Linked DNA regions of Arabidopsis thaliana. The protein of the gene in region 4 interacts with the protein of the main gene of each other region in a pairwise test. Each region holds a gene or a part of one and is shown on either strand. Other genes may lie near its edges. The genes, in order: BBX10, BBX13, BBX9 and BBX28.

Region 1 (4,667 bases), on a different chromosome or scaffold from region 4:
GGTATTTTGTTAGATATTTATTTTAGTGTAGTAAATCTTTCTCACTACTTCTTTGGACTTGTCATTTTCCTTAATTTAAAGGTACATAAAAGCAACTCCAGCCTTGTATTCTTAGCAATAAAAGTGATTAAATTTAATGAAACAACAAACCTTAGCTAAGATAAACATCTTAATTAAGATGTTTTCTTAAAACTAAGAAGAGTATATGTGTTGTATTTTGAGTGGATAGACATTTTTGAATTGTTGTTTTTTAAGAATCCAATAGTTCTTAACCATTGAAATAGAAATTAGTTAAACTTCCTCCTAACTTTTCTTAACTTAGTAAAAACAACATTTTAATTTAAAATAAGGTTAAGATTCAAAACTAAGAACCAATTGGTTCTAAACCAGTGGGGTAATAACTAAACTTTTTGCAAGTGAAACATCTTCATAATGCAATGCTTAATAAGTAGAGAATTGTTCTCTTGAAACACGTTAAACGCGAGCTCTGTAATGGAGCAGATTGTAATCACTGCTACTTTATTATTAATAAAAAAAAAAACAGCTAGGAAATTTATTTATAAAGAGATAAATTAGGATTTGTCCTATAAAAGGAAAAACCCAACTTAAAAATAATCAAAAACAAAAGAGATTCTGTAAATAAAAGAAGTTACTAAATAATTTTCACCATTTTGGCTTTCCACCAACTTTATTTAGTTCTCCAACGTTCCCATGCCTCAACATGTTGATTTCTTCGATTCACAAAAACTATACACAATAAGACAAACAATACATTACTTTCCCGACAAGAAACTGTTTTTACCAACCTTTATCATCATCATGAAGCATGGTTTAAGTCTGTTTGGGAAAGAAGACTGTACATTATTTTTGTAAATTTCAATTGTTCGTCGTCGGTGATGATGGATCATAATCATAACTGTCACCAGCTTTCACAAATCTTCCTTTCACTCTTTTCCTCGTGTCAGCTCTTGCTTTGCGAGATGCATATCGAATCTGTTTCCCAAAACTACAATTAAAAAAAAAGAAAAACACCATTAAACCTGATCCAAGTTGGTATAAACTCTGTTTTGTAATGATTAGTAATAAACTTACGAGCGCTTTAATTTCTTCTCCTTGTATCTCAACTTAGCCTCGTTTCTTGCTTGTGGACAACTAACTTCAAAATTCGTTTCCCATGGCGCTTCACTCATTATAAACCCTGGAGACATCCCACAATCCTGGTAATCAGCTGCATTGTTTTCACCAGTGATGTTAAGAGATGGATGGATTTGTCCGAACAAGACAGGTGATAGAGGAAGCTGAAGTCCAGTGTTGATGTTCATTTGCTGACCTGGTGGCGATGCCTGGAAACAGAATAACACAATTTATATTAGAAACTTTCTTGAGGTACTAGAAACTACAACAACGACAACAAAAAAGCGAAAGAGACCTCTAGAGCCTTGTCTACAGTAAAGTTGGAGCCGGTAAAGCTGGATGTGTTAGTCTTGTCAATCAATAGGCAATTTGGTACCGTATGGTCCGGTTCTATGTGTACTTCTGATGAACATCCGATAATATCATCTCCTACGTCAAAGTTTAATGGTGCATCATCCAAGTTAAGCCCTTCACATAGATCTTCTTCTCCTTCTTCAAGTTTAAGAACCATATCAGGATATCCCTGGAACATACACACAAATAAGAACTGTATTTTTCATCAAGAACTTATAAGGAACACTTTTCACTCCTTTAATTATTACCTTAGATTCCGTGGAAAAGAAAGACAAATTATCACTGAAATTCTGAGTGTAACTGATGTTGTGTGGTACCATGGAATAAGCGGTATCGAACATGGTATTGTTGAGATCATTCAAGGGAAAAGAACCAACGAACGGACTAAGCAAGCCGGAGACAGGAGGTTCAAGAATTGAAGACCACATTCTGTTAAAATCTGTAGGAGAAGGACAACCAGAGAAAGGATTCAAGCTCTGAACTCTGTGTCCTAACTCCGAACAGTTGCTTTCGTGCCAATGACATCCTTGGCAGTATGAAACCTTCTCGTCGAGACAGCGGATTGCGGCTGGCTGTGAGAAGCATTTCTCGCAGATCAAAGAGCGTATGTGCCTGTGAGACAGAGGATTCGCAGAGTGTACATGGACGTCGCAGTTTAGGCATAGTTTAGCCAAATCGGATTTGCAGTAAATCAATGCTTGCGAGGTTGCACAATGGTCACACTTTGGCTCCATACTTGGAGACATGATGATTGGGTAAACTTAAAGAAAAGTGTATAGAGAAGAATCTGACGTTGATATTGTTTCACGATTAGTAAAACACACGTAAGATCCTGCGCAACATAGATGCATGACCATTTCAGATACAAATCATGGAAGGAAAATGATGATTTTGGAATTAAAGATGGTAATATATGGGTGCATCATGCATGATAGGGTTTTGTGTTTCAATTACATTAATTTGTGAGGAAAAATATCGTAAATTGTTACGTTTCAAATAGAAACACAAATGTTTTTGAGAGCTAATACGGAGGAAGAAGCACTCACTTATGACGACCGAGATCGATTAGGCCGATTCACAACCTTTTTCGTAAAATGACGAGAAATTCAAAACCCAATAATGGGAGATTACAGAAAAAAAAACAGATTACAATCTAAGAACAGAATATTTTTTGAATCGAATGAAATGTGAAGAAGAACAAAAAAAGAGTTTTTTTACACTTTTACAGTGGTGTGCGAATCACGTAGAAGAAAGAGAGGTAGGGTTGCTTCTTTTATACCTTGTGAAAACGTGTGTCCACGCGGTTAAAATCCACGTGGCGTAATTATGAGCCTTGACGTGATTTATTATGAAGACATGCATAGGTAATTGTGATTATATCGCTTGTCAAGATAGTACTATCTGATTTTTTTCTTGCTCGATAGATTTTGTGCTCTGTGGCAAACCTTAAAACTCGTTGTTTCGGGTCGATACTAGCTATTACTAGTGTTACTTACTTGTGGTTCCCAATAAATTTATTGATATCGTTTATACGTGTAATACATGTCGTAATTTACTTGAATATTGAGCCACGTACGTTTCTTTTTCGAAAATATGTTCTCAACTAGTTTGAAAGAGTTATCAGTTTTTCTGAATTGTGTGATGTCTTTTGGTATCTCTAACATTTGATATATAGATGTGAGATCATTGAGTCATTTCATTTGAAATAGACTAGGCCACATCAACTTCTATATTATCATCAGTTTAATGTACATGCATGTATAATGGCTATGCAGTTGACTCTTGAATAGAAATAAGTTGTTAGCATTTCTAACTTTTTGATCAGGCTACCCTCAAATTTTGGGATTCCTAACCTAAAAAATGTTGTCAGCTATTTCGTAAAAAATTTGTTTCTAAAAGAAAATTGTAAAATTTGAACTAGTAATTATCTTTTGATATAATCCTCAAAGAACTAACTTTTCTTTTTAAGAAGTTGCACACCAACCTAACTATTTAAAAGGATACAATTTAAGAAAAAAATGCCTTATGCAAAGAAAATGATATATAGATTTGATAGATAAAAGTAAGAAACATGATAACTATTAACGTAAACAAAGATAAATGAACTTCAAAACAGAGATAAGAAAAAATGGCCACATAACATTATATGACCTATGCATAAACTCTCCTTATCAAAACATTAAACATGTATGCAGTGACCGGCAACGCGTATGCCTTTTTTCAAATAATGTATCTAACATTAATTTACATCTATATATAGTATTTACATCAAGAATATATTCCAGCGTATGTAGTAAAATTTGTGTACTGTGAGACTTTTCAAAGGAAATTGTACCGGACGAGAAAATTATGGACCAAGACCCGGAAACTTAATTTTGGGTAATAATGCTAGTAATATGCAGAAAATTAAGTGGAAAATAAAGTTATTTGTTTGATAAATGATAACTAATTTCATTGCTCAAGGTATACAAAAATCATCGGAATCCTATCTTCTCGCGAAGTGACACGTGTCAAAACCATCTCACACTCGTCCAAAGTCAGACGAAACATGATAACATCCCCACGTAACATCTTAAGCTCATCGTATCTCAACCACCCAATCTACAAGCCATATATACCCAAAACGAACTATACAACATGGCCCATTAACGAAAACTGAAGAGAACCCATGTTAACCGCAGCCGGAGACGATGAACTGGACCCGGTCGTGGGACCAGAATCGGCAACGGAAGCAGCCACTCCAAGAGTGCTGACTATAATCTCCCATGTGATGGAGAAGCTCGTGGCACGAAACGAGTGGTTAGCTAAGCAAACTAAGGGATTTGGGAAGAGCTTGGAGGCGTTTCACGGCGTGAGAGCGCCGAGCATAAGTATAGCTAAATACCTTGAGAGGATATATAAGTACACAAAATGTAGCCCGGCATGTTTCGTTGTTGGGTATGTGTACATAGACCGGTTGGCTCATAAGCATCCTGGTTCTTTGGTTGTCTCCTTGAATGTTCATAGACTCCTCGTCACTTGTGTCATGATTGCTGCCAAGATACTAGATGACGTGTAAGTAAGCCTTTCTTGAATTTCTATAATATCTTGAAATTAGACTAATCATGAAACTATAGATCATAGTTGTATCTTAATTGATTAACAAAATGAAAGATACATTTTATATCTAACCAATATAA
Region 2 (5,103 bases), on a different chromosome or scaffold from region 4:
GGGATTCCAAGTGGTTCACATTTATTAAGATATGAATCCGAGTAGGATGAAGGACATTTTTGAGGGTTCAAGGCGTTTCGGAGAGGTAAGATAAAGATGGAGAGGAGAAATACAGAGAAGAGAATTCTTGATTGAGGGAATTGTTAAACGAAAAATTTAATAGAGAATTGGTCTATTCTTATAGTCACTAAGAGGAAAGTCAGAGAATTAGTTGTCTTTTAAGAAGAATTGTCACCTGCATCGGATCCCACGTCTGCAGAGCTATATGACATTCAAGCATAAACATTATACAACATCCACTACATGTATTATACACTAGAATAAACTGATTGTGGAATTTCGCCTGTGAGTAACTCTTTAAGTAGGGAGATTTATACCTTCTGAATTGGCCAACACAGCCAGAACCACCAAAGAAACAGCAACGAAGAACCACAGCCGCAGATCCGCTCGCCATCTGCGAACTGGACTTGGAAAACTTTGATTAACAGCCATAAGTCAGGGTTTTTAAAACAAAGAGTATCAAGGCGTATTAGCTTGTGAGACTTCAAAATGCTTGGATAGACATGTATATACTGTCAACAGAATATGGTTTTCTAGAAGGTTACAATCTTTTTTAAACTAGATAAGATTCCAAGGTACATAAAAGGGCCAGATAAGGCAATAAAACAGAAGGGCGGCCAGATGAAACGAGACCGGTCTGTACATTTATGAGGCAGTGGAAGTAAAAAAAGTAACTAAGTTTGTAGCTAAAAGGAAGCCTATGTGAAGAGACTTAAGGTTAAGGGTAAGGAGCTTCACTAGCTTTCACAAATCTGCCTCTGACACGCAACCTAGTGTCAGCTCTTGCCTTCCTCGATTCATACCTTATGGTCTTATCATATCTGTTGGCACCCGAGATCCAAGACAAAGGGAGAAACGAAATATGGTATCAGATTCTTTAAGGGAGATGGGCAATAAAAAATTATTAAAGGGGAAAGAAAAAAGCAGCATTTACCTCCGTGTCTTCCTCTTTTCCTTGTAACGCTGCATTGCATCTCCTCTGTTCTGAGCCAGCCGCTCCAGATCAGCCTTAGTTGCAACTAGTCTTGTGGTCTTACAACTAGTTCCAGCAATATGCTCTGTGAAATGCAAGTCACTGGAGGAGTTCGAACCTTTCTCAGAGCCAAAGGTAATTGGACGATTGTTGCTCTCAGATTTTGTTGGTTGTACCTGGCCTGAAGTTGATCGCTTGTAGTCATCCTGCAAAAGAATCCTAATCAGCATCACAGTTAAGTTGCATAGCAGTCTAGCAAATATATATCATAAGCCAAAATGTTAGAATTGGTGGCTTGGTGATGAGGTAAAACAAAGAAAAGCAAACCAGCTTGTAACTTTTTTCTGACTAGGTTTCATGTTCTGAATTCTATCATTCACTAAAAGAAGCAACTGTCTACAACAATTTTTGAGGATGAACGGGAGATGACAACGTATTGTGTTTTAAACACTACTCTACTTAAATGACTAAGGTTAATGAGAACTATTACCTTTTTAATCTCTTTGACACCTTTCACATTAGTGGAACAAGTTTCATTCATATGGTCAACAAAATTGTTGATTGTGAATGAAGAAGCAGCACCTTTCCCTACATATGCAGCTTCCACTCGACTCGTATCCTCAGGTCCCCGTGACTGTCCCAAGTTAAAATCCCATATCTGTATACAAGTTCACAACACAGGTTAAGAAACCTTTCATTTTTTTATCTTCTTGAGAAACCATAAAACCACACAGAGTGACTATATTTGACCTTACACAAAAACATTTCACCACTTAATCTCACTTGCTCATTAACAGAAAAAACTAAACTGTTCTTAGCCAAAAAAATCAAAAGAGAGATAAGCAAAACCTGAGAACTCTGGCCACCACTAGGATTAGTAGTAGTAGCATTCCACTGCTGGTTAACTCCTCCTCCTCCGCCACCATTGATCTCCTCAACATCTCTTGACCATTTCAATCTCTCTGACATCTCCGGAACCATAAGCCCCTCTCCTGCTTCTCCATCTCCATCTCCATCACAAGCACCCTCACGGTCACAATCACGGTCACGATCACCATCATCGCCATCACCACCGACAACACCACTCTTAAGCAACTCCTCAAGCTGCTTACACAATACCTGCTTATACCTCCCACAACTAGATCCACAAGATCCACGCTTCTTAAACGTCGTATCGCTGGGAACAATCAATTCATTAGATCCCAAAACCCAAGAATCCAACTGCATCCCGAAATTATCCATCATCATCGCCATCATCGGAACTTGATTCTCTTCATCTTTCCTCCCTTGCTCCAAATCAAGTCCCCATAAAGCAGCAAGCTCCAACGCCGATGGACAACCGGAAAAACCTTCCACGGCGGATCGAACATGAGCATCGGAAACTGAACAACTTCCGTGAACATCCCAATCACACTCCTGACACAAAATCAGATTATCGGTGAAACACCGAACAGAGACTGGCTCGTTACCGCAATTATCGCAGATCTGAGATCGCACGTGCTTCCTCGACAACAGATTCGCCGTGTGAACTTGCTGATCACAAGGCAAACACAGCTTCGCCGTATCGGCTCTACAAAACAAAACCGCCGTACGCTCGCCGCAGAAATCGCACGGTACTCTCTCCGAACTACTCATAACTGACTCTCTCTCAAAATCCCTAAAATTCGAAATCAAAATCAGAATTTATTTTCAGAGACTAAGGACGGTGAGAAGAATGATGACAAATCCATTTCTCACGTTTTTCATTTTGAACTCTTTTTTTTTTTGGGGGGCTTTGTCAAAATTATCTGCAAATCTTTTGGAATGAAGAAGACAACGAAGCTAATTATTGTAAACAGTTTGGGGTTAGGGATTTGTTTTTCTGTGTTGCGATGTATGGAACTTGTGTATGATGGATTGTTCAGATTGAGATATGTTGAGATCTGACGGTGTAAAAGCGTGCTGAGAGAGTCGCCATTGTTCAGACGGCGAAGCTTACGTTGACTGTGACAGAGAATCTAAGAGAAAATATCTAATCTGCTTTTTCACCTAAATATCTATTTTAACGTATAAAGGGAAAGTTAGTTCAAAGCACATGATTTTTATGGGATTAATTCTTTCCGTATATAGCAATAACTTTTTGATCAGTGTAATAACGGCTGGAATCGTCTTTTTCTGGAACTAGTATTTACGAACATTGCAGCGTAATGTATAGCATATATTTATGTGCATAATAAACTGCTACACACGAGTTCTTGACAAAAGATGTGATAAAATTAAAATCGTAAAGATATTTTAGGATTCATGTTAGATATTTTCTTTTTGTCCATAGACTTCAATAAGTTGTTTTTTTTTGTTTTGAAAAAAAGTATAACTTATTTGTAAAGTGCTATCATTCTGAGGTATAAATATCTTGAAAAAGTTCCTGGGGAGTGGTAACAATCGGAACGATTCTTGACTAACGCATTAAATTTCACGTGTTAGAGAGTTTGTGATTCAGACTATACATAATACAGTATATGAGCGGGTTTTTTCTTTTTTGAGTCAAAGCGGAATATATGCGTTATATACTTCTATATTTGAATTCTTGAGTTTTGATCGAATGTTTAATTTGTGGTCAACTTGTGGAAATCTCTTGGCAAAGAAATCTTATTTATCCAAAAAATAGTTGGTATGAAAACTCTTGGCAAAGAAATCTTGTTTATTCCAAAAATAGTTGGTATGAAGAGTTTGGATTTCTGCTTGTAAGAAAACTGCGACCTGACATCAAATATTTTTCTTTTTAAAGATAAATAGCTTGAATTTTCATATATCTCTATAGAAGATGAATCGTCGATTTTTTTTTTTTTAAGTAAAAGATGATATAAAAGCCCATTAGACTCAAAATTGAAGAACTATCTCAAGAAGGAACTCAAAAATGGGCTTCAGCCCATAAGGGAAGCTTGTAGTCCGGTGATTGGATTATATATCTTCCGGATCCGGTATCGTTTCGCTCCCTTTAGGATTTTTCCGGAAGGAACAAAAATCTGATTCAGAACTTGGTTTCGCTGGTCGTTTTGGTTCTAATCTGAATCGCTGGTTTATTCCGGTTGTGAATTTTCGTATATTTATAGGACCGGCGAATCAGAAGCAAATTGTTGTTAGGAATAAACCCTAAATTCTGCCATGGATAAGGAGAGATATTCCAGGAGCCACCGTGACGATCGTGATCGAGATTCGAGTCCCGACCATTCTCCACAACGTGAAGGAGGACGCCGCCGTGACCGCGATGTTGATTCGAAGCGTCGTGATTCAGATCACTACCGTTCATCGAGGCGCGGCGATAGGGAAGATGAGAGAGATAGGACCAAGGATAGAAGAGGGAGATCTGTAGAGCGAGGCGAGAGAGAAGGGAGTAGAGATAGGGAAAAGCATCACCATGAGAGGTCTCACGAAGGTAGTAAAGAGAAGGAATCGAGGAGCAAGAGGAAAGATAGAGAGGAAGAGAATGGGGCTAGGGATGGGAAGAAGAAATCTAGGTTTGCTGATGGGAATGGTGAGAGGAGGAGCAGGTTTGAGGATGTGGCTATTGAAGTTGAGAACAAAGATGCTCAAGTCTCTGAGGGTTCTGGGGCTACGAATCCAACCAGTGGCGTTACGATGGTGAGTTCTTTATACCTTTTCGTTAATCTTCTTTGTTTGCTACTTGCGATTTGTTCATGATTACCTCTAGTCTTCTTCGCTAGCTAATGCTTGCATTTTCTTTTTTTGTGCAGGGAGCCTCTACATATAGTTCTATTCCATCGGAAGCTTCTGCTGCCCCTAGTCAAACACTGCTCACTAAGGTATCTTCGATATCTACAACGGATGAAAATAAGGCTAGTGTTGTCAGATCTCATGAGGTTCCTGGAAAATCTAGTACAGATGGAAGACCATTGTCCACAGCTGGGAAAAGTAGTGCAAACTTGCCTCTTGATTCATCAGCGTTAGCAGCGAAAGCTAGGAAAGCACTACAATTGCAAAAGGGATTGGCTGATAGATTGAAGAACCTTCCTTTGGTAAGATGTACAGATATTCTATACTTTTTTGCGTTCATTCTTCTCTGAAAACTT
Region 3 (4,468 bases), 5.0 Mb from region 4:
GGCGAGAACGCCACCGTGTATTGTGAGGCAGACGCAGCTTTCCTTTGTAGGAAATGCGATCGATGGGTCCATTCTGCTAATTTTCTAGCTCGGAGACATCTCCGGCGCGTGATCTGCACGACCTGTCGGAAGCTAACTCGTCGATGTCTTGTCGGTGATAATTTTAATGTTGTTTTACCGGAGATAAGGATGATAGCAAGGATTGAAGAACATAGTAGTGATCACAAAATTCCCTTTGTGTTTCTCTGATTTTATGTTTTGTTTTTCGCGTAATTAAGATTAAATATTGGTAGGGTTTTTTCTCTGGAAATGTTCTAAGAATGTATATTTTCATTCTAAAGCTTAAAAGTAATATATGAACACCTAGAAAACATATTGATTTAATAGTAAAATAATGCGGTCCCAATAGTAAGCTATAAGAAATCAAGAACAAATCTTCCTATGGCAAACATAATCTGCCTTTATTCTTTGGCTTTATTTTTCTTAACTAGGAAAACAATACAACGTTACAAATTACAATCAAGTGAAATGGAAGGTGGAGAGTGGTCCAAAACACAAAGAAGATATATTTTTCTATGATTAACATGTAATTGAGATTAAGGAGCTATAAGTAGGAAAGAGTCAACGACTCTTGTTTTGTTTTTTGGTTTCTGATTTTGTCTGATCGTCTCGTAGCTGTATGCCTAATTAATGCCTGTATGACCGGTAGGTTTTGTGGTTGCATCAAAAAACAGTGGAAATTCTCTAGTAAAAAGAGCAACTTTCAGTTTTTTTTTTTTTTAATCTCCATTTTGGAATCACCTTTGCGATGATTTTAAGTCTTTGTAGTTTGATCTTGTATACTTTCTCAAGAAGAGAATTTTATGTTTTTTTTTTGTTACTTCTCCGACAAGAAACTGTTAATCCCGTGGATGGAGTCAGATTATTCTTTAGTTCCGCAGTGAAGATTCACTAGTTCACATCACCAGTGACGGATCATACTCAAAAGTTTCTCCAGATTTTACAAATCTCCCTTTGACCCGTTTTCTCGTATCAGCTCTGGCTTTGCGTGATGCATATCTTATTTGCTTCCCAAACCTAGAAGAAATTGGTACCACAAATATCAATGAGATTATGTTTTAAAAGCATGATAATGACTCTGATTATGTGTCTCAAAAACTTACATGCGCTTTGATTTCTTTTGTTTGTATCTCTTTTTAGCCTCATCCCTTAATTTTGGATTAAAACTAACTTCAACATTCGATTCCCATGGCGAATCTCCTATGAGAAACCCTGGTGAAATTCCGCAATCTTGGTAATCAGTCGCATTGCTTTCTCCTGTGAGGTTAGACATCGAAAGTGACATGTTCGGTACAACGTTCCCGGATAAAGTAGGAAGCAGTAATGAAGGAAGGCCAATGTTATTCTCTTCCTTAAAAGAATCCTCGTACTCGTAACATTTGGTATTGTCAAGTGATGAACATCCGATTATATCATTGCTTGCGTTGAAATTCAACGGCGCATCATCTAAGTTTATCCCTTCGCATAGATCCAAACCAGAACATTCCTGCATATAGAACGGAATATAAATGAAAAACATTCTTCTTTATCATAAATGAAACATTTTGATATATTACTTAAACAACACGTCACCTCTTCTATCACTTTTGGAAGATTAGATTCCATAGGAAAGAAAGAAGAATAGTCTTTAAGGTTCTGAGTTTGTGTAACCACGGAAGTTGATGAACCATTCCAATCGTCTAATTCCTGGAGCAGGGTATCAGAAAATGGAGAGACCAAACTTGTGACAGAAGGTTCTAAAGTTGAAGACCAGATCTTGCCGAAATCTGATGGAGAAGGACAATCAGAGTAAGGGTTCAGACTCTGAAGTCTGTGTCCTAAACCAGTGCAGTTACTAGCGGTCCACTGACATCCTTGGCAAAGAGAAACATTTTCGTTCATACAGTGTACTGCCGTGGGTTGTAAGGAACATTTCTCGCAGAGTAGAGATCGCGTGTGTCTTTGAGACAGAGGATTCGCTGAGTGTACATTAACGTCACAGTTTAAACAAAGTTTAGCCGAATCAGATTTGCAGTAGATTAATGCTTTTTCGGTTCCACAAAAGTCACATCGAGCCTCCATACTTCTTCGAAGACAAAACTCCAAAGAAATAACGATTTCTCAATCCCAATCGCTACACACACCTAAAATCCTATAGCATAGAAGGATCGTGAGACAAAAACAGAACATTCAGAGATCAAACAAAATTACGATTCATTATAGGTTCATGTATCTTTTTAATGTGTGACTGTGACTGTGACTAATACATGGTTGTGTTTGAATGTTAGAGAAACACTCACAAACTAAGAAAATGTGGATTCTCGAGACCGAATCAGTACTAAAATCACAATGTCTAGAAACTCATAACCAGTTAATTACAGAGTTTTTTCTAAACAAGAGTATAACAATAATCGTGTAAAATTGTTTATGTTTCAGGGTTCCAGAGATTAGAAGCTTTACAAGGGTGTGTGAGAGTCCAGTGAGAAGGAGATGAGAAAGAACAGAGAAGAAAAGGTTTTGCTCTGTTTTTATCCTGTGTGGGGTCCACCTTGTTAAGCGGGTTTGCCACGCGGGGTATCTTTTGTCACGTGTGGTTTTATTGTTCCTTAGATTTTGTTGATGTCATAATGTGGTTGACCATACAATTCGGAGTTTTTGTTTGATTCTTTAGGTACTTTCTGTGGCTCGCAAGAATTTCGAGAATTGTTAATAAAAAAACGTGTAAATGTCATTAATTTTGAACACGTTTTTCTTGTTATTCAAAACATCCGAGTAATAAGACTAGTTCGAAGCAATTTATTCCGAGTGTTGGTTTAATGGATCTAGGAGTTTGCAGCATACTAGTCCGGTTTCATTAACCTGTGGTTATGGATAGTTATTGTATCTATTTCTCACTAATTTTACTAAGTGTGTTTTCACAACTTAAAATATGAGATGTTAGAAGCACTTAAATGATTGAAATTCTAGTGAGCGATCATGTTTTAAGAGAGAAAACTTTGTGACAACGATTGATATTCGTTTACGATTTTTTACCAGCCTCAGTAAAAAGGCTAAATGTACTATTTTTGAAACATCTCCCAATGCATTCCATGCCAAAAAAGGCTAAATGTACTTGTAAACAATTCAACAGACAGTAACTGCTGGCATTAGCTGAAAAGGTCGCTCATGGCATGACCAGTCTGGTTGTCATTGTTTGTTTGCCAAAAGATTTCATTAGATGTCCAAAAAGCAGCTCATTCGACCAAACAATTGTTTCCTGATAAGTCAATTGTTTTGTTAATCAATTCTATAGGAACGCTAAATCCATTATTCGTCCAAAAATCAGCTCATAGTTTTCAATTGTTTTGTTAACCACTTATTTTGCAAAAGTAGTGAAGAAAACATAACATTTAAACACACCAATTGTTTTCATAAAGCCCTTCCACCAACTGAAAATCAAAGAATAACTAGCTAATCTCTTCCGGTATTAAAAAAGAGGAAAAACAAAACCAATTGATATAATGTGCGAGGCATTTCCAGGATCAAAAGGCATGGAAAAAAGCAAAAAGATCAGGATATACCACAACCAATATAGCGTCACAAGCCATTATACCTGAAGGAACTGTTTTTATCCTTCAGAATTGGTAATGGACGCCAATACAAAAACAAAAAACACTAAAACTCTTTCTTCAATAGGGCAAAATTTTTGATAAAAAATGCTCAGTGGAAGGAGAAGTCGTTTTAAAGGAGAGCTCACGGTAAACCCACTGCTCTTCTCACACTCTTCGTGCTTTCATCTCATCATTGCATCATCATCATCAAACCCATAACAGTAATCCAACAAAACAAAACAAAAAACATTGAAAGAACAAATAAGCTTCAGTGTGTGTAACAAATTCAGTTCATTGATTCAAAAACCTCACTGAAATCCGCTAAGATAATTGTTTTTATCATCATCAGCTTTATAACCCAAAACAAGTACATACAAACATCAATCAAACCTATTAACAATAATCCAACTAAACAAAAGCCAAACATTAAAAAAAAAAAAAAGCCTCAGTGTGTGTAACAAATTCAGATCATTGATTGAAAAACCTCACTGAAATCCGCTAAGATAATTGTTTTCTATCATCATAAGCTTATAAGTGGAAAAACATCAACCAACAAAAAAAAACAATAACAGAGAAATTTGTCTTCAAACCAATCAAAAGATAAGATTTTGGGTGAAAGGGGAATTAATACTCAGACAGCCAAGGGTTAATCTTCAACTTCTGGGAGAAGAATCCCAGATCTGAAACTCTAGTCCACAATACTCTTGTATCATCACCATATTCAACCCCTTCCACATCCCATAAAACTAAGACATCACAAATCTCTTTCACAAAAACCTTAAATATCACCAATTTCAACATATATACACAAACGAAAATAGTCACAGACCTAACCCTAA
Region 4 (4,141 bases):
GTTAATCATCATCCCTTAGGCCTTCTTAGCTTATGCATTGTCTCTTTGCTAGTCTTTTTCTCACAATCGTGTCGATATATTTTAAGGGTTTTTAACGTGTGGTTTTTCTGTAGGGAGCATTAGTAGAATTATTGATTGGTTTTATTCAAATATAGAATATATATATATATATATATATACATAAAACATTTATTGATGGATCATTGAATGTTCATTTGTTCGTTACAACATTTTCTTATTCAAATTTTATCGATCCTTGAATCAAAGACTTTGACATAAGCGAAACCATTGGTTACTTCTCTAAATTAAAATGAAATGGTAGTCTTCTAATAAATATATATGTTTAACAAACAAATTGGCATAATTTGATCGTTCTAACCAAAGATAGGATTTCGAATCCAAATTGGATGGGATGACTAGACTATTAGATATTTAGATCGATCACCAATCAAACAAAATAGGCGTGCTTTTATATTCATTAAGCTGGTTTAAAACAACAAACAATCCAGCATTTTTAATTTTAGTGGTTGAATAGTTAAGTTAATAAAATCAAAGATAAACAGAAAACAAACAGCTAGTTTTTCAAATTTTGGCGTTTAATTTTATTTGGAATATTTTTTTTTAATAAAACACACAAAAAAAAACTCTTTTGACAAAAATTGGCATCAATACTGCATATCGCATAGCCCCATACATACATGATACATGCCACATCTCTTAAAAGATGAGAACAAGAAGGGATGTATTTGAACTATTCTGACAATATTATATATACACACACATTTTGAATATGAATCTCTCTTCTTCAAAGTTCTGACTTGTTCCAAAATTCTTATCCACACAATGGAGGAAAAAAAGAAAAAGAAAAGCCACAATAATGAGCCATAACCACAACCACACCCACTCACCAGAGACTTTGTGTATCCGTGGCTCTCATCATGACATCTCATCTTCCTTTGATTCTTCACACCACCGTCGATCGCCACGTAGGATTTCCCCAAATCAAAGCATTCCACATAAGCACAATCTTTTATGTGGCCAGAGTTTAATCAACATTTGTTTTTCTTACAATGGGTTCGTGAGAGCCACAAATAAATCAACTATACGATTAAATAACCATATCTAACAAAAAAAAAAAACATTAAACAATTATAGTCCAAGTAAACAAATACTCGCCTACTATGTACCATATTAGAAAGTTTTTTATTCTCCCCCAATACCGATATATTATTTTGTAATTTAAAAATTCATTGTTATCTTATCCTCGCAAGAAACACAGATGTTTTGGATCAGTTTGGGAAGCGAAGAAGTATGGGAGAGAAGTAAAAAACAAAACAAGTGGTTTATAAAAAAAGAGGGAAAGATAATTGAACAAAGATACGTGGGGCCCATTAAACTTGTGTTATGGTCCAGACAAATCCCAGGTGGGCTCACGTGGCTACGAAGCCCATTGAGAACCTGATTCGTCCACGTAGGACGGGACAGAATCTCGCTCTCCTCCTTCCCCGGCTGAGATCTCGCCACGTCATCGACTAAATAAATCTCTCCCAAAAAAATATCTCGAAACTGAACCATGAGTTTGTCGCCACGTACAAACGGGGTTTGGCTTTGGCCCATACGCATTAATAACTGGTTTTCAAAAATCATTTAAACTTATTTATCCTAATAACGCATAATTAATGTGTTTTACTTAAACTGTAATGATTCTAAGTAGAAAATGTGAAACAGTATTTTTTATCCACAAGAAAAAATAAAACACAAGGATAAAGCTAAAAACAATAAAGAAAACATTACTGACTCAAGTAATTTAAATAATTGCAGCAGATATAGATCTGATAATTATCCAAACAAAAATCTCAAATAAAGGTTAAAGTGATAAACCCATCTCTAAAGCAAAAAGATTTTTAAGTTGAACCAATCCTTAATTGATTAAATACTATACGTTATTACAAAGTTAAATTGAAATGAAATGGATACTAACCACAGAATAAAAAAAAAAGGAAGGTGCTATATAAAATAGAGTCATTGTGAAACCAAAGAAGAGAAATAGATTTTTTAGCAGAAGGCAGAAAAAGACGAAACTAGCCTCCAAAGAATTGTTGAATCACAGAAAACTCGCCACGAAAAATATCCCAAATCCTGCAACTTGCACTTTCCTATTCTTCTTCTTCTTTCCTTATCTCTCCAAGGAACCAAAGCATAGACACAAAACGAACAACCACAGAAACTTGAAAGAGAGAAAGAGTTTGATTTTGATTAAAATGGGGAAGAAGTGTGATTTATGTAACGGTGTTGCAAGAATGTATTGCGAGTCAGATCAAGCTAGTTTATGTTGGGATTGCGACGGTAAAGTTCACGGCGCTAATTTCTTGGTAGCTAAACACACGCGTTGTCTTCTCTGTAGCGCTTGTCAGTCTCTTACGCCGTGGAAAGCTACTGGGCTTCGTCTTGGCCCAACTTTCTCCGTCTGCGAGTCATGCGTCGCTCTTAAAAACGCCGGCGGTGGCCGTGGAAACAGAGTTTTATCGGAGAATCGTGGTCAGGAGGAGGTTAATAGTTTCGAGTCCGAAGAAGATCGGATTAGAGAAGATCACGGTGACGGTGACGACGCGGAGTCTTACGATGATGATGAGGAAGAAGATGAGGATGAAGAGTACAGCGACGATGAGGATGAGGATGATGATGAGGATGGTGATGATGAGGAAGCGGAGAATCAAGTTGTGCCGTGGTCTGCGGCGGCGCAAGTTCCTCCGGTGATGAGTTCTTCATCTTCTGACGGAGGAAGCGGAGGTTCAGTGACGAAGAGGACGAGGGCTAGAGAGAATTCAGATCTTCTCTGCTCCGATGTATGGATCTATCTTTTTTAACTATTTTGTCGGGAAATTAACAGAGAAAGTTTTGGTTTTAATTATCGGTTTCGTTGTTTTGGAAAATGCAGGATGAGATCGGAAGCTCTTCAGCTCAAGGGTCAAACTATTCTCGGCCGTTGAAGCGATCGGCGTTTAAATCAACGGTTGTTGTTTAACTCACACTCTACCGTATCGTCAGAATGAACGGCGCCGATACATCGTCTTCTCCGATCTTTGCGATCTCCAAAACAAGAAGAGATCTCAGCCGTTGATTCCTTTTTTTTTCTTGTTTAAGTAAATCACCACCGTTCAGTTTTCTGACAATACTTTGTTTTAGAGATGAGGTAGTTTCTTTCTTTCTTTGAATGTCGTACAAAATCAAATCTTAACTTTTTATTTTTCTTATCAATATCATTATTATGTTGATTTTTTTTTTGTTAATCTACGTAAGTAAATTAATTTCGATTCGTAAGTTTATGACTTATGTTATATGATTATATTCAATGGATCAAAAGGAATGGGGGAGAGATTGGTGGCAGATGGACACAATGGTATACACATACCGTAAAAATAAAGTATATGATTTGCTTTGTAATTTCGACCACTCAATTGTGGGGACTACAAAGAAAATGAAATTAAATATGATAAAATTTCGAGAGATTTTTATAATGTAATGGGTCCTTGAGGTTACATTCATTCGCCAAGAACATTGAACCTGTCATATCTGCCGCGTCTGTGAACTGTGTTTGATGGTCCATAAAATATTGACACCCCCATGTTTTACCTTATAACGTTATCTCACCATGTTCTTCATTCACATGACAGGATCACATCTTTGTTCACCATAGTTCTTTCGATTTTAATTTAAAATTTTACTCCTATTGGTTTCGTGTGTGTCATTTGGGTCCTATATACATACATCAAAACCGTTTATCCCTTCTTTTTTTTAACCACTTGATTCTCTGGCTTACCGAGGAACTGGTGTTGTGGGGGTTGGACAGTTGGGTCTCTCTCGAATTAATTTGAATAAAACATGTGGTTCTCATTTAAACTACATATTCTTTTAACGCAAATTCTTATATTGTTTCAATTTATAAGTTTTTATACGATTCCAACAAAACAAAACAAAACATTCGAAATTTAAACTCATTATAAAATCGATATAAGAAAGTAGAAAATATTTGTTAGGAAATTCGCTGGGTTTCACTATCAACGCATGACTAGCGTCAAATACTTCAACCATTAGTCCATAGTTCCAATTCCTAAAGTCAAACCAAAAACCTAACGGATCA

The links.
Region 1: the proteins of BBX28 (region 4) and BBX10 interact in a two-hybrid assay, tested with the Arabidopsis thaliana proteins (one large-scale study listed by BioGRID).
Region 2: the proteins of BBX28 (region 4) and BBX13 interact in a two-hybrid assay, tested with the Arabidopsis thaliana proteins (one large-scale study listed by BioGRID).
Region 3: the proteins of BBX28 (region 4) and BBX9 interact in a two-hybrid assay, tested with the Arabidopsis thaliana proteins (one large-scale study listed by BioGRID).

Annotation. Positions count from the first base shown.
Region 1 is NC_003074.8:7,704,303-7,708,969, reverse strand, and holds BBX10 (B-box type zinc finger protein with CCT domain-containing protein), read right to left. Parts: upstream 2,714-4,667; 5' UTR 2,535-2,713; intron 2,321-2,534; 5' UTR 2,235-2,320; coding exon 1,737-2,234; intron 1,658-1,736; coding exon 1,430-1,657; intron 1,344-1,429; coding exon 1,093-1,343; intron 1,007-1,092; coding exon 877-1,006; 3' UTR 861-876; exon of another isoform or gene 780-860; intron 748-779; 3' UTR 624-747; downstream 1-623. Other genes in the region: CYCP2;1 (cyclin p2;1), read left to right, coding at 4,157-4,542.
Region 2 is NC_003070.9:9,774,990-9,780,092, forward strand, and holds BBX13 (B-box type zinc finger protein with CCT domain-containing protein), read right to left. Parts: upstream 3,055-5,103; 5' UTR 2,669-3,054; coding exon 1,883-2,668; intron 1,692-1,882; coding exon 1,524-1,691; intron 1,240-1,523; coding exon 995-1,239; intron 882-994; coding exon 779-881; 3' UTR 533-778; downstream 1-532. Other genes in the region: AT1G28060 (Pre-mRNA-splicing factor 3), read left to right, coding at 4,178-4,654, 4,768-5,049.
Region 3 is NC_003075.7:8,708,986-8,713,453, forward strand, and holds BBX9 (B-box type zinc finger protein with CCT domain-containing protein), read right to left. Parts: upstream 2,542-4,468; 5' UTR 2,500-2,541; exon of another isoform or gene 2,495-2,499; intron 2,192-2,494; 5' UTR 2,122-2,191; coding exon 1,633-2,121; intron 1,547-1,632; coding exon 1,164-1,546; intron 1,078-1,163; coding exon 957-1,077; 3' UTR 782-956; downstream 1-781. Other genes in the region: BBX30 (B-box type zinc finger family protein), read left to right, coding at 1-249.
Region 4 is NC_003075.7:13,673,592-13,677,732, forward strand, and holds BBX28 (B-box type zinc finger family protein), read left to right. Parts: upstream 1-1,945; 5' UTR 1,946-2,261; coding exon 2,262-2,846; intron 2,847-2,938; coding exon 2,939-3,025; 3' UTR 3,026-3,464; downstream 3,465-4,141.